2 linked regions of the Anolis sagrei genome follow. The protein of the gene in region 1 interacts with the protein of each later gene in a pairwise test. Links are inferred from orthologs where the notes say so. Each region holds a gene or a part of one and is shown on either strand. Other genes may lie near its edges. The genes, in order: ZMYM2 and FOXP1.

The links.
Region 2: the proteins of ZMYM2 (region 1) and FOXP1 come close enough for resonance energy transfer, tested with the Homo sapiens proteins (2 studies listed by BioGRID). The link is inferred for Anolis sagrei from reciprocal best matches to the Homo sapiens genes ZMYM2 and FOXP1.

What each region holds. Positions count from the first base shown.
Region 1 is NC_090023.1:27,920,606-27,927,748, reverse strand, and holds the start of ZMYM2 (zinc finger MYM-type protein 2), read right to left. Parts: upstream 3,063-7,143; 5' UTR 2,913-3,062; intron 1,503-2,912; 5' UTR 1,412-1,502; intron 1-1,411. UniProt on the Homo sapiens protein: Involved in the negative regulation of transcription.
Region 2 is NC_090022.1:39,731,015-39,738,216, forward strand, and holds the start of FOXP1 (forkhead box protein P1), read right to left. Parts: upstream 3,250-7,202; 5' UTR 3,162-3,249; intron 2,849-3,161; exon of another isoform or gene 2,760-2,848; intron 62-2,759; 5' UTR 1-61. UniProt on the Homo sapiens protein: Transcriptional repressor. Can act with CTBP1 to synergistically repress transcription but CTPBP1 is not essential. Plays an important role in the specification and differentiation of lung epithelium.

The sequences.
Region 1 (7,143 bases):
AACACGCAAGCATGGAAAAGAGCAAACACAGATCTCCTACTAAAATGCAGTCTGAGCCCTGCCACATTGCACAATGGAGGACCTTCTTACAGTGACACCAGAGGCACTCCAAACGGCGAATTACTGGTCAAAGGACAATTAATATAATTATCAAGTTTTTAAACTTTGTATCTTTTTAAAAAATACATTAAAACAGTACCTTTGGTTCACTCCTGATAAGATAAAATACCAAACTACAACTTCAATGATTTCATAGCACTAAGCCATGGCAGTAAAAGTGGTGTCTAATTGTATTAATTCTGTGAAGATGCACCCAAACCCTCAACAAATCCAGTTCCATGAAAGAAAAAGAAGAAGCAACCACACTTTGCCAAAGATTGGATTATTTTAAGTCTCTCCTACCCAGCCACAAAGTCAAGTAAGGTTGCAGGCCATTGGGAGAGTTGTGAGGGAATGAAAATTGGAAACCTGGTTAAACACAGTGGACTATCAGTGTATTTGCACATATGGGGATAGGAAGATGCCAGATATATGTAGTTGCTGGGAACTTGAGAGTTACTCTTCAACAGAGATCAAACACTATATCCCATAACATATCATAAACTCTTTATTGACTTGTTATTAATATTGAAATACTGTAATTAAAAGAAAATACAGACAAACTTAACCTAGGCCCCTTCTACACTAACCATTTAATGCAGTTCAAAGCAAGTTTCAAGCTGCTGCTGCCAGACAACAAACTCCCACAAAAGCAAACCCTTAATGTGTGCATCAGTATCTGTGGTTTGTGTGAACACCACCATTTGGCCCCCAAATCAGTTCCAAGATTTCCTGTGTAATCATCTGAACAGCAAAACCAATTTCTTCAATACTGGTTGCACAGCAAAACCACTTTCTTCAATACTGGTTTCATTAAATGGTTAGGGTAGATAGGGTGGAATATAAATAAATAAGTAAATATTATTATTGATAAGCCTTAATACTATATTATAAAAACTGATTTTACTTTATTATAAACAATTTAATTTTTTTATTATTTCTGTGACCTTTTTGCCGGTTGCCTATAGTATGTCACTTTGGTGTTGGCTCCAAAACTCTAGAGGGCTCTCGAAAGATATCCTTCTCAGAGAAGAGCCTGGTTAAAGCGGGGAGGAGCAGCAGCAGGAGGGTGTTGGTTATGGCAGGAGCGCTGTCTGCAGCAGAGCCCACCCCGAGGGAGAGGAGGAGGAGTCTCCTCACGGCCATTACAGGGCTTTGCTCCAGGGCAGCAAGCAGCTGCTAATGCTCCCCCTGCTGCACCCAATACCCCACCATTGCCCTGGAAGCCCCTCCTCCCAAATGCCAAAAAAGAAAAAAAAAGTCTCCTCCTCCTCCTCCCCCAGGCAAAAAAGCATATATAAATAGCACTCACAATAGAGCTCCTTTCTCCAGGTTGGGCTTTGCCAAGGCTGCGCCAAAGTGGCCTGGGGAAAAGAGAGGAGGAGGAGGAGGTGTTGATAATCCTGAGAAAAAGAGAAAAGGGGGCATTAATAGAGTTGGTGGGCATGCCTCCAGAAGACGCCCTTCCTTCTTTGAGGGAGAGCCCCCAATCCTCTAAGGACGCCCCCCTCCTCTCAAAAGATATGTTGATGTTGGGGTCAAGAAGAGAGAAGGGGTCTGAATAGGGCTGGTGGGCATGCCATATCTGTCCCTCCAGAAGACGCCCTTCCTTCTTTAAGAGAGAGCCCCCAATCCTATAAGGACGCCCCCCTCCTCTCAAAAGATATGTTGATGTTGGAGTCAAGAAGAGAGAAGGGGCCTGAATAGGGCTGGTGGGCATGCCATATCTGTCCCTCCAGAAGACGCCCTTCCTTCTTTGAGGGAGAGCCCCCAATCCTCTAAGGACGCCCCCCTCCTCTCAAAAGATATGTTGATGTTGGGGTCAAGAAGAGAGAAGGGGCCTGAATAGTGCTGGTGGGCATGCCATATCTGTCCCTCCAGAAGACGCCCTTCCTTCTTTGAGGGAGAGCCCCCAATCCTCTCAAAAGATATATTGATGCTGGAGTCAAGAAGAGAAAAGGGGCCAGAATAGGGCTGGTGGGCTCCCTTTATCTTCCCCTTCTCTATTTGTACCCCAAATAAAGAGATGGTGGTGTTGGGGGTAAAAATGCTGGCATTAGTAGGTGGGTGGGCCTTCTCATCTTCCCCTCCAGGAGACGCCCTTCCTTCCTTCCTGCCTCGCTGCGTGGCCCCAGAGAGGTCCCAAATGTCTACCTCCAGTTCCCTTAGGCCTACAGTTTTCCAGTGGAATGGGCGCCTCTTGCCCCAGAGAGAAGGTAGAGGCGAAGGGGATAAAGGGGGGGGGGAGGGGGAATAGAGGTGGAGAAAGAGGGCAAAGGGGAGGAGTTTCTCCTTCACGCACACACACAATACCCCACCAAAGACGGAAAGGGAGGAACTGCCTCCAGGGTTTCCCCCGCCACTGACACACAAAACAGCCCCACCGCATGCAATCCTCCCTCCTCCCCCCCTCTGGGGAAAGTGGGCCGGCCCAACTGTCCCTTCGGCCTCCCTTCCCAATTGCCCCGGGCGGCGCGCTTGGCCCCCTGCTGTCGGCCAGCGGTACTGCAGCCTCGGGTCGGCCGCCATTAATGGGGACCCAACCAAACAATACGGAGGGGGGGGGGGAAGGGAGAGGGCAAAAAGAGGAAAGGGAACGCAAGCGAGTACGGAAACAAAAAAGAGACAAAAAACTGCGAGGAGGGAGGCCGCTGGGCTTCAAAGCCGCGCTTGACAGGAATCGCACCCCCCTCCCGGTGTGCTAAAATGGATCAAGCCAAATACCCCTCAGCAGTCCTCCCTCCCTGCTTTAACCGCCCTCTCTCTCTCTCTCCACTCGAAGGGCTCAACGTGTCTCCTCCTGCCTCTCTCACCGTTTAATGGCTTCCCGCGCCAGTGCCTCAACTCTAACTCGGTCCAGTCCCGGGATAAACGCCGCCGCTGCTGGCGAGGCGAAGGAGGGACAAACCCAACCTTCGGGAGGTGGGGGGAAGGGAGAGGGAAAGAGAGGGGTGGATAGGCAGCCTCGTGCTCGCGCCTATTGGCTCCCTCAGGGGGAGGGCTTTGCCGCCCGGAAAGCTATTGGAGCAACCGCCTGCCTGTCATCATCCCGCGCGGCTGGTTGAGCGCCCCCGCCTGCCAATCACGCGCCTCGTAGCCCCGCCCCTTTCTTTGGTATCCCTCAGGTTAGAGACAACCCGAGTTGCCTCTGCGTCCCTCAAGGGGGCGCTGCTTCCTGAGGGCTTTTGGGGCAGAAGTTGGCGCTCTGTTGGCCCTCCATGAAGCAATAATCACAATAGTAACCAAATAGTAATAAATCACATAATAACCACATTTGCCACAAAAAGAGGTGGCAGTGGTAGTGGTGGTCCATTCCCTGCCCCCCCCCATGGATTTTACCCTCCACAATCTCAGGCAATCATTGAGGAGGCGCCCCCATTTCCATAATGGGGTCGTTTGGTTGGAATTGGTGCCTCAGGACATGGCGCCCTGGGGGAGGGGGAGGGGCAACATGAGGGGCAACAATAGGGACGCCCTCCCAAATGTCCCCAAAATGAACACTAATAAGAGGAGCCCATGCTCTTCAACTTCCAATAATCTCCTCAAAAGGGAGACCAATCCCAGGCAATGAAGCCCAGCACGGCTCCTGGTGGTGGAAGTGGTGGTGGTGGTTGAATGGTGGTGGCGTCCTCCATTTTGTCTGCTGCTGCTGCTGCTGCAATGGGGAGCTTCTCTGGGGGATCCCTTCAGAGCAAGATGGGGCTCTGAAAGGAGAGCCCCTTTTCCCCTCAAGGAGGGAGCCCTGAAGGAGGAGAGGGAACCTCCAAGGAAGCCCCAAGGCGGTGGGAAGGAAACCACCCACAGCCAAAGCTCCCCACTTTCCCCTCAAACCAAAATGGAGGATGCGCGCTTTCTCCTCCTATTGCGCGCTTGGCTTCGCCCCAGTTTTTTTTCCCCCTTCCCTTCCTTTTTTCCCAATCCATGGCTCGTGTTTTGGTTGGAGCCACCCGTTGTGACCCTGCTGTGACAAAAAAAAGGGAACAAAAAAGAGGCAGGAAAGAAAAACAAAACCACACACATATATATATCTCCACACCACCTCGCTTCCCTCACTCCACCTTGCAGCCATTCTCACGCTTGCACACTCCCTAGGGAAAGGCTTTATTTATGTTTTGTGTGTGTGTGTGTGTGTAATTGCGCGGGAGGAGAAGCAAAGGAGTCTTAACAACTTGGCTCTTTGGAGCTCTGGCTAATTCTCATGCGCCACCAAAAAAATAATGATAATAATAATAAAAACGCCAAAGTGACTGGAGCAGCGCCACTTTTTGAAACGGAGGCAGCCAACAGGTTTAAGCCAAAACTATTTAATAGGAGGGCGCTCTCTCTCTGTCTCTCTGTGTTTACGGGGAAAGAGCTAAAAGATTACCCTCCAGGTGGACAAATAAACCCAGGGAGAAGCTAAGGCTGGGTTCTACACCGAGCAGTCTGGACTATATCATGCAGTTCAAACTGCTCTGACCTTAGCATGCAGTTCAAACTGCATTACATGGTTCTACACCTGGCCTGGGCAAACTTTGGCCCTCCAGGTGTTTTGGACTTCAATTGGCACAATTCCTAACAGCCTCTGTCACTTTCCTTTTTGCCCTTCTCTTCTTCGGGCTAAACATGCCCAGCTCCTTAAGCTGCTCCTCATAGGGCTTGTTCTCCTTCACTTTCACTTAGGAGATCCCTCGTTGGACGAGTAAGATGGTCTTCCATTATGGATTTCCTTGTGGGTCCGCATGTGGCTGTGGAGCCCTATTCTTGCTCTGCATCTTCTTCCGCAGTGTGGGCATTGGTTTCCAGGTGGAAGGTGGTCCCGGTTGGGGTTGGCTTGACACGCCTTCCTCCTGGCACGTTTCTCTCTTTCACCCTCCACTCGTGCCTCATCGAATTCTGCAGCACTGCTGGTCACAGCTGACCTCCAGCTGGAACGGTCAAGGGCCAGGGCTTCCCAGTTCTCAGTGTCTATGCCAGAGTTTTTAAGGTTGGCTTTGAGGCCATCTTTAAATCTCTTTTCCTGTCCACCAACATTCCGTTTTCCATTCTTAATTTCAGAGTAGAGCAGCTGCTTTGGGAGACGGTGGTCAGGCATCCGGACAACGTGGCCGGCCCAGCTTGTTCTCCAGACCCTTAATCATTTTAGTTCCAACTGCGTTACATGGTTCTACACCTGGCCTGGGCAAACTTTGGCCCTCCAGATCTTTGGACTTCAATTGGCACAATTCCTAACAGCCTCTGGCACTTTCCTTTTTGCCCTTCTCTTCTTCGGGCTAAACATTCCCAGCTCCTTAAGCTGCTCCTCATAGGGCTTGTTCTCCAGACCCTTAATCATTTTAGTTCCAACAGCATTACATGGTTCTGGCCAGCCACTTTGTCCGGATGCCTGACCACCGTCTCCCAAAGCAGTTGCTTTACTCTGAACTTAAGAACGGAAAACGGAATGTTGGTGGACAGGAAAAGAGATTTAAAGATGGCCTCAAAGCCAACCTTAAAAACTCTGGCATAGACACTGAGAACTGGAAAGCCCTGGCCCTTGACCGCTCCAGCTGGAGGTCAGCTGTGACCAGCAGTGCTGCAGAATTCGAGGAGGCACGAGTGGAGGGTGAAAGAGAGAAACGTGCCAAGAGGAAGGCGCGTCAAGCCAACCCCGACCGAGACCGCCTTCCACCTGGAAACCAATGCCTTCACTGTGGGAGAAGATGCGGGTCAAGAATAGGGCTCCACAGCCACCTACAAACCCACAAAAATAGTCATCAAGGAAGACCATCTTACTCGTCCAACGAGGGATCACCTAAGTAAGTAAAACACGGTTCTACACCTGGCCTGGGCAAACTTTGGCCCTCCAGGTCTTTGGACTTCAATTGGCACAATTCCTAACAGCCTCTGGCACTTTCCTTTTTGCACCTTCGTTGCTTAAGGAATTGTACCAGTTGAAGTCCAAAACACCTGGAGGGCCAAAGTTTGCCCAGGCCTGTTCTACAAAACAACAGAGAGTAAACAATCAGGCACATCAAATCACCTCTCAAAGAAAGATTCCCCCAGGCACTTCCAAGCCATTAAATGCTAATCATAGAATCATAGAATCAAAGAGTTGGAAGAGACCTCATGGGCCATCCAGTCCAACCCCCTGCCAAGAAGCAGGAATATTGCATTCAAATCACCCCTGACAAATGGCCATCCAGCCTCTGCTTAAAAGCTTCCAAAGAAGGAGCCTCCACCACACTCCGGGGCAGAGAGTTCCACTGCTGAACGGCTCTCACGGTCAGGAAGTTCTTCCTAATGTTCAGATGGAATCTCCTCTCTTGTAGTTTGAAGCCATTGTTCCGCGTCCTAGTCTCCAAGGAAGCAGAGAACAAGCTTGCTCCCTCCTCCCTGTGGCTTCCTCTCACATATTTATACATGGCTATCATATCTCCTCTCAGCCTTCTCTTCTTCAGGCTAAACATGCCCAGTTCCCTAATCCGCTCCTCATAGGGCTTGTTCTCCAGACCCTTTATCATTTTAGTCGCCCTCCTCTGGACACATTCCAGCTTGTCAATATCTCTCTTCAATTGTGGTACCCAGAATTGGACACAATATTCCAGGTATGGTCTAACCAAGGCGGAATAGAGGGGTAGCATTACTTTCCTTGATCTAGACACTATGCTCCTATTGATGCAGGCCAAAATCCCATTGGCTTTTTTTGCCGCCACATCACATTGTTGGCTCATGTTTAACTTGTTGTCCACGAGGACTCCAAGATCTTTTTCACACATTTTTATTTATTATTTCTTTATTCACAGTAGAGTCTCGCTTATAATAAGTAATAATAATAAAAACTTTATTTGTATTCCGCTCTATCTTTATTTATATTCTGCTGGGAGAGGTTATCTGGAGTTTTGGAGTACAGTGCCATCTCTACGCAGATGACACCCAATTCCACTACTCTTTTTCATCAGAATCCAAGAAAGCCCCTCGGATACGATGATCTGGATGAGGGCGAACAAGCTGAAGATTAATTCCGACAAGACAGAGGTACTCCAGGTCAGTCGTATGTCTGATGAGGGTAATGGGTGGCAACCT
Region 2 (7,202 bases), on another chromosome or scaffold:
CTTTCTCTCTCTCTTTCTCTCTCTCTGTCTCTCAGCGGCGGGCAAAACAAAACTTGGGGCTCTATGGAGTCGAGAAGAAACGAAGGGTGCTTTCAACAAGTCTCCACAAAAACAGGTTTTGGGGAAGAGGTGGGGAAGGCTGGGCGCTCACTGGGGGAGGAGGAGGAGGGGAGTGTGCGGTTGTGTCTCAGGGAATTGGGGGGGGAGAAAGAGAGAGAGAAAGAGAGAGAGGAGAGAGGGAAAACCTTGGAAAGCACTTGCAAGGAAGGAAGGAAGGGGATGAGGGAATCAGATCTGGTTACAGGCTCTCAGGTGGCCACAGGCACGCAGGCGTTTCTTTCTTTCTGTCTCTCTCTCTCCATCCACTCCTCCCTCCTTGCGCTCTTGCTGTCTTTCGGGGCAAACCGGGGCAGGGAGCTGGTGTGGGAGGGGAAGAAGTGACAAGCGTGGGCTCGGAGATTCCTGACCAGAAGGCAGCCGGGGCTTTGCTGAAGGTACCAAGACAAGGGGAAGATGGGGGTGAATGGGGGAAGGGGCGCTCCCGGCTGGCTCTCCCTGGTTCTGGGCTGAGAAAGAGGAGGAAAGAGAGACTTGGTTTGGGGGGGGGGGAATGGAGTGGGGGGGCAATGGAGTGGGGGGGGGGGCGAGAAGAGGAAGGCGCGTGTGGAGAAGGGAAGACACTCCGCAGGGAGCCGAGCGCGCGCGCCAACTTTTCCCAACTTGTTCCCGGCTCAAACCTGCCGCGAGGACGGAAAGGGTGGGAAATGTCCCGCTGGTGGCACTTGGCGCGCGAGTCCCGGCACCCGGGAGACTCGCGAAGGGAGAAGAAAGTTGGGAGGAAAATCTCTCCCGGGACTCCCTCCCGCCTCCCTCAGCCACCAGTCGCTCGCTTGGCCTGGAAGGGGAGAAGGGGGTGGGACTGGGGGCGCTTGGTGCGACGGAACAAGGTTGATGTATGGCTTGTGGTTGCGCTTTCCCCGCAGGCGAAGTGGCCTTGCCGAGTTTCCACGCCTGACTCTCCCTCCCTCCTTCTCCGCGCGTTTACTTTCAATCAGGGGCTGGGTGGCCGTCTGTTGGGAGGGTTTTGGTTGTGTGTTCCTGCCTGGCAAGGAGAGGGTGGGGCAGAATGACCCTTAGGATCTCCTCTTCCAACTCCAGGGAGGGAGGGAGGGAAGGAGCGAGGGGGGCCTCCGCGCGTGGGACCGCCGCTCTCGGTTGGGTCACCCGCGCGCCCTTTGCCTTTGCGCGACTTGAGGCCAAGTGGCCAAGGGGTAAAGAGCGGGTCTTTCAAAAAAGTGGAATCACGAGTGTTGTGTGGATCCTTGGAGCATGCAAACTCTCTCCAGGAAAGTCCGCTTTAAGGGTGGAGATTCCACGCGCGAGGGGAGTGCAGAGAAGAGAAGAGAAGGAGGGAGAAGAGGGGAAAGAAGTAGAGGGGGAGGAAGAGGGAGAAGAAAAGGGAAGCAAGAGGAGGTTGAAAACGGAGAAAGAAGTAGAGGAGAAAGAGGGAAAAGAAAAGAGAAAGAGGAGGGAGAAGACGACGGGGAAGAAAGAAGAGGAGCAGGGAGAAAAAAGAGGGAGAAGAAAGAGAAAGAAGTAGAGGAGAGAAGAAGAGGAAGGAGTAAGAAAGAAGAGGAGCAAGAAGAAGACGGAGAAGAAAGAGAAGAGGAAGAGGAGAAAGAAGTAGGGAAGGAGGAAGAGAGAAAGGGGGTGCAAGCGAAAGAGGAGGGAGAAGAAGACCGAGAAGAAAGAGAAAGAAGTAGAGGACAGAGAAGAAGAGGAAGGAGTAAGAAAGAAGAGGAGGGAGAAGAACACGGGGAAGAAAGAGAAGAGGAGAAAGAAGTAGAGAAGGAGGAAGAGAGAAAGGGGGTGCAAGCGAAAGAGGAGAAGACGGAGAAGAAAGAAGAGGTGGAGGGAGAAAAAAAGAGGGAGAAGACTGAGAAGAAGAGGAGAAAGTAGTAGAGGAGGAAGAAGAGGGAGAAGAAAAGAAAGAAGTAGAGGAGGGAGAAGAAGACGGAGAAGAAAGAGAAGAGGAGAAAGAAGTAGAGGAGGTGGGAGAAGAAAAGAGAGAGAAAGAGAGGAAGTAATAGGAGCAACCTTGAATGCTGGCCGGTCTATTGGGCGACTTAGCGGTGGGAGAAAGTGAGGGGCCAGCCCGGCGAGTTCGAGCTTGGGGACCGTGCGAAGGGATGTGTGTGTGTATTGGTGCTCCTCTGCCTCCCCCAAAGGCCTCTCTCTCCATTGATGCACACGCGAGGGAAGCCGGGCAAAAGTTTCTCCAAGCGGCGCCCAAAGTTCTCCTTCGGGCCCGCTTCCTCCCCCCCCCCCGGGGGGCCGAGCCCTCCTCCCTTCCTCTCTCCCAGAGAGACACCTATGGGGTAGAGCTATAGATATGCCCAACACACACCCTGGAGGAGGGTCCCCAAAGTGCGGGCTGCTTCCAACTTGCGGCGGTCATGTGTTTGGGAGGAAGAGGAGGGAGAGGGGCTGAACTCTTACCATCCCTCTCAGCCTCTCAGGCCCCTTTCCTTTCCCCCCTCAGCCGCTTAAGGAAGGGGCCTGAGGCTGTGAGGGATGGTGGGAGTTGGACCCCCAAGTCCCGTGGCGTGAGGGCCCAAGTTGGCCCGTGCCGGGTCTCCACTGTGGCACGTGGGGCGAGGGGCCTGGGCGTGGGGGAGGGCTCTGAGGGAGAGACAAACAAACAGAAAGCAAAGGAGGAAGAGTTGCGAGCGAAGGCGGCGCAAGGATGGCAAACTCACCCGCTTGGAAGCGCGGCCCTGGCGGTGCCAGCTAAGGGGCTCTCTCTCTCTCTCTTATTCCCCCCACTGCGGGTGGGTGCCTCTGCCTGCCCCTCGCCTTTGCCTCTCCCTCCTTCCTCAATCCCTCTCTCTCTCTCTCTCCTCCTTCGCTAGCCAGCCAGCCCCATGCAGGAGGCACAGCGTGCGGCCCCGCCACACAATAAACAACAATAGAGCCCTCCGCCTGGAGTCGGGAACTAGCTTCCCAAAAGGGGGAAGAGAGAGAAGAGAGAGAGAGAGGAGGCAGAGCAGGCGAAGCTCATCCAGAAGCAGAAGCAAAGCCAGGGAAGGAGGAAGCCCAGAGAAAAGCCCTCCCTCGCCAACTCTTGCCTGTCCCCCACCCGCTCCGTGTTGTCTTCCTACCAAAGTCTGCTCCCCACTTTGGAGTTTGGCTCTTTTGGGAAGGAAAAGGGGGGGAAGAGGAAGCCGGGCTTGTGTTTGGGTTTCTTCTCCCTTCTTTTCCCTCCCCCGCCTCTCCGCTCGGAAGAAAAATAACACCCCGCGGAGGGAGATTTTGTTATTTTTTGCTGTTGTGAGTCCCTGACGTCACATCCACCTGCTGGGTAAACAAGGCTCAGTGCAAAAAAAAAAAAAGAGAGAGAGAGAAAGAGAGGGGAAAAGGAGGAGAAGGAAAGGACACAAACGGAGAAGGAAAAGAAATGGGAGGAAGGGAAAGGGAACGAGAGGTTCCTGAAGAACTCAGAGAGAGAAGAAGGGAGGGAGAGGGGAAAGAGAAAGAGATTGCAGTTGGGGAAAAGGAGAGAAAGAGAGGAAAAGGAGGCAGATTGGAAGAGAAGGAAAGGACACAAATGGAGAAGGAAAAGAAATAAATGGGAGGAGGAAGACTAGGAAAGAAAAGGGAATGAGAGGTGCCTGAAGAGCTCAAAGAGAGAAGGGAAAAAGAGGTTGCAGTTGAGGGAAAAAGATAGAGGGAAAGGAGGCCGATTGGAGAGAAGAGGGGGGGGGGGGACAAATTGGAGAAGGAAAAGAAGAAATGAGAGGAAAACTAGGAAGGCAAAGGGAACGAGAGGTGCCTGAAGAGCTCAAAGAAGGGGAAGGAGGTAGATTGGAGAGAAGGGAGAAAAAGAAGATATGAGAAACGAGAGAAGGAGCAAAAGGAGAGGTGCCTGAAGAGCTCCAAGAGAGAAGAAGAAGAGGGAGAGAGGGGAAAAAGAAAAGAGACTGCAGTTGGGGGAAAGAGAGAGGCAAAGGAGGCAGATTGGAGAGAAGGGAGGGCACACATTGGAGAAGGAAAAGAAGAAATGAGAAACGAGAGGAAGGATAAGCGAAAGGAGAGGCGCCTGAAGAGCTCCAAGAGAGAAAGAGGAGAAAGGGGAAAGAGATTGCAGTTGGGGGAAAGAGAGAAGGAAAGGAGGCAGATTGAAGAGAAGAAATGGACACAAACGGGGAAGGAAGAGAAATGCAAAGAGGAAGACTAGGAAGAGGAAGGGAAAGGGAAGGAGAGGTGCCTGAAGAGCTCCAAGAGAGAAGAAGGGGGATAGAAGGGAAAGAGAAAAGAGACCGCAGTTGGTGAAAAGAGAGGGCAAGGAGGCAGATTGGAAAGAAGGAAGGGCACAAATTGGAGAAGGAAAAGAATGAGAAACGAGAGGAGGAGGAGGAAGGATAAGCGAAAGGAGAGGCGCCTGAAGAGCTCTGGGCTCGCTTGGGGCTTTCTCTCCTCTTTCCTAAACAGAACCCTAATAAAAGAAAGGAGTTGGGAGTGAGAGGGCGAGCCTTGAGAAACGAGGGGGAGAAGAAAGGCAAAGAGGTGCCTGAAGAGCTCCCAGCTCTGGGCTCGCTTGGGGCTTTCTCTCCTTTCCTAAACAGAATCCTAATAGAAGAAAGGAGTTGGGAGTGAGAGGGCGAGCCTGCCTTGTTTCCTTCCCAAGCGCGAGTGTTGTTTTAGAAGCCCCAGTGCCGGCTTCTTCCTCTTTCTCTCTCTCTCCTTTCTCTCTCTTTCCCCTCGCCTCCTTTTTGCACTTTGCCCAATGAAAGGCGCCGAGTTCGAGAGGTGAAAGTTCAGCAGGAGGACAAACCCCCGCCGCCTCGCAAGGCAGAAGCCAAGCAGGCATGGCCAGCCTTTGCAGAGAGAGAGAGAGAAATAGAAACAGGGGAGCAAGGAGAAGGCGAAGGGCGCGCGCACTCCAGGGTCCTCTGGCGCGCGCACTGGACCCTCAGCGCTCTTTAGAAACAGGGAGCAAGGAGAAGGGCGCGCGCTCTGGGCCCTGCTTAAGGGCTCTTTGGAAGGGAAAATAAAAGAGGAAGAAAACTTCTCGTTGAGTACTTTGGGAAATCCAAGTCCCCATTTTGCCTTCCTTCCAAAGCGAGGCGCAAAATTGGGCCAGCCTGCCAAGGAAAGGGTTGTGTTTCCATGCAAAGTGGCCTGCCTTTCCGGGAAGTACAAGGTAGGTAGCGTTTGGGTTAAGCGTGGCAACAATTGCCCAGGGCAATCCACAGAACTTTGCTGCCACGTTTCACCCAAGCGCCACCTTTTTCTTTCTTCCCCGACAGGCTGGCCACTCACGGCAGGTTGTTTTGTGTGTGGAAACAAAACGTTTCGCCTTCCAGGAACCTTTGTATCACATCTGGGCCTTTCTTAAAGAGATTATATACAACTATCATCAGCCCTTCCCACCTCGAGGCCGTTTCTTCGCCTCCATCCACACATTTTCTGCGACTCCAGAGGACAAAAAGACCACTTCAAATCCGGTTTCTACCTTCTGCAAAATTATGGGGTTTGTAGTTTAGTGAGGCTGTTAAAGGCTCCTCCAGTTTTTCAAGCAGCCTTCTGACCTGCCCTTTAATAAAAGAGACACACGGTCTTTCCGCCCCAAAGTGCTGCAATAATGCATTGTCGAAGGCTTTCATGACCCGAATCACTGGGTTGCTGTGAGTTTTCCGGGCTCTGTATCCATGTTCCAGAAGCATTCTCTCCGGACGTTTCACCTGCATCTATGGCAGACATCCTCAGAGGTTGTGGGGTCTGTTGGAAACTAGGAAATGGTGTTTCTATCTCTGTTCTCCCACCCTGGACATTCCACCGATATATAACCCAATTTTCCTAGTTTCCAACAGACCTCACAACCACTGAGGATGCCTGCCATACAGGCAGGTGAAACGTCAGGAGAGAATGCTTCTGGATCATGGCCACACAGCCCGGAAAACTCACAGCAGCCCATTTTCCTTTCTTTCCGAAGTCCAACTAGGGATGGAAAGGGTTACTTTTACCTGCCTTTTCACTGGCTGTGAATTCAATCCCCAGCTCCTTCTGACACTCCAAGCTGTGGCCCAACCACTAAACAATACCCTCTTCTTTGTAATGCATAATCAAACCCACTTATTCACTCATTTTATACTATTTATAAATACGGAGCTCTAATAAAATGTTGTTCATAGCCTGGACAATATGTTCTTGCACAGTGTTGGAGGGCTTGCTCTCTCTCTCTCTCTCTCTATATATATATATATATTCATAGGAGTTTTAACCACTGACAGCTAGGAGGAACTATTTATTAATTAAGGGGAAATACTGGTTCCAAGATTTCCTCCAGAAAATTCTCAAGGCTTTTGCTAAAAGATAATAATAATAATAATAATAATAATAATAATAATAATAATAATATCTCATGCTTGTGGAAAACAAAGAAAGTATGGATCATCAATGTTGCAATCCCAGGCAACAGCAGGATTGACGAGAAGCAACTGGCAAAGCTGACATCATACGAGGATTTAAAGATAGAACTGCAAAGACTGGCACAAGCCAGTCAAGGTGGCCCCAGTGGTGATCAGCACACTGGGTGCAGTGCCTAAAGACCTTGGCCTGCACTTAAAAGCAATCAGTGCTAACAAAATTACCACCTGTCAGCTGCAAAAGGGGCCACCCTACTCAGATCTGCATACATTATTTGCTGATACATTACATAGTCCTGGATACTTGGGAAGTGTCTGACGAGTGATCAAATACAACAGCCAGCATAATGATCTTGTTTGCTGTGAACTAATCTTGTTATTTATCGAATAATAGTAATAATAATCTTTATTTCTATCCCACCCAAATAAAGATTATTATTGTTATTATTATACAAATAAAGGTGGTTGTTGTTGTTGTTATTTGTATCTCCCCGAAGGGACTCGGGGTGGCTTACAACAATAAACAAATACAATAAATTGTATACCATAGAAAATAATCACATACCACTTAATTTAACAAGCACACAATAATATAAACATTAGTAAAACAAATCTAAAAGCTTTTTGCCCCATCCACTCACTTTGCCCATATCAACTTTTTTTTGCAAAGGTTACTAGTTATATATATAACACTATGATTGTATGTCTTCTTGTCCTGTTTTATTTAAAGTCCCCCTTTGAGTTATATAAATATTTGTGGCAATCATTGTTACA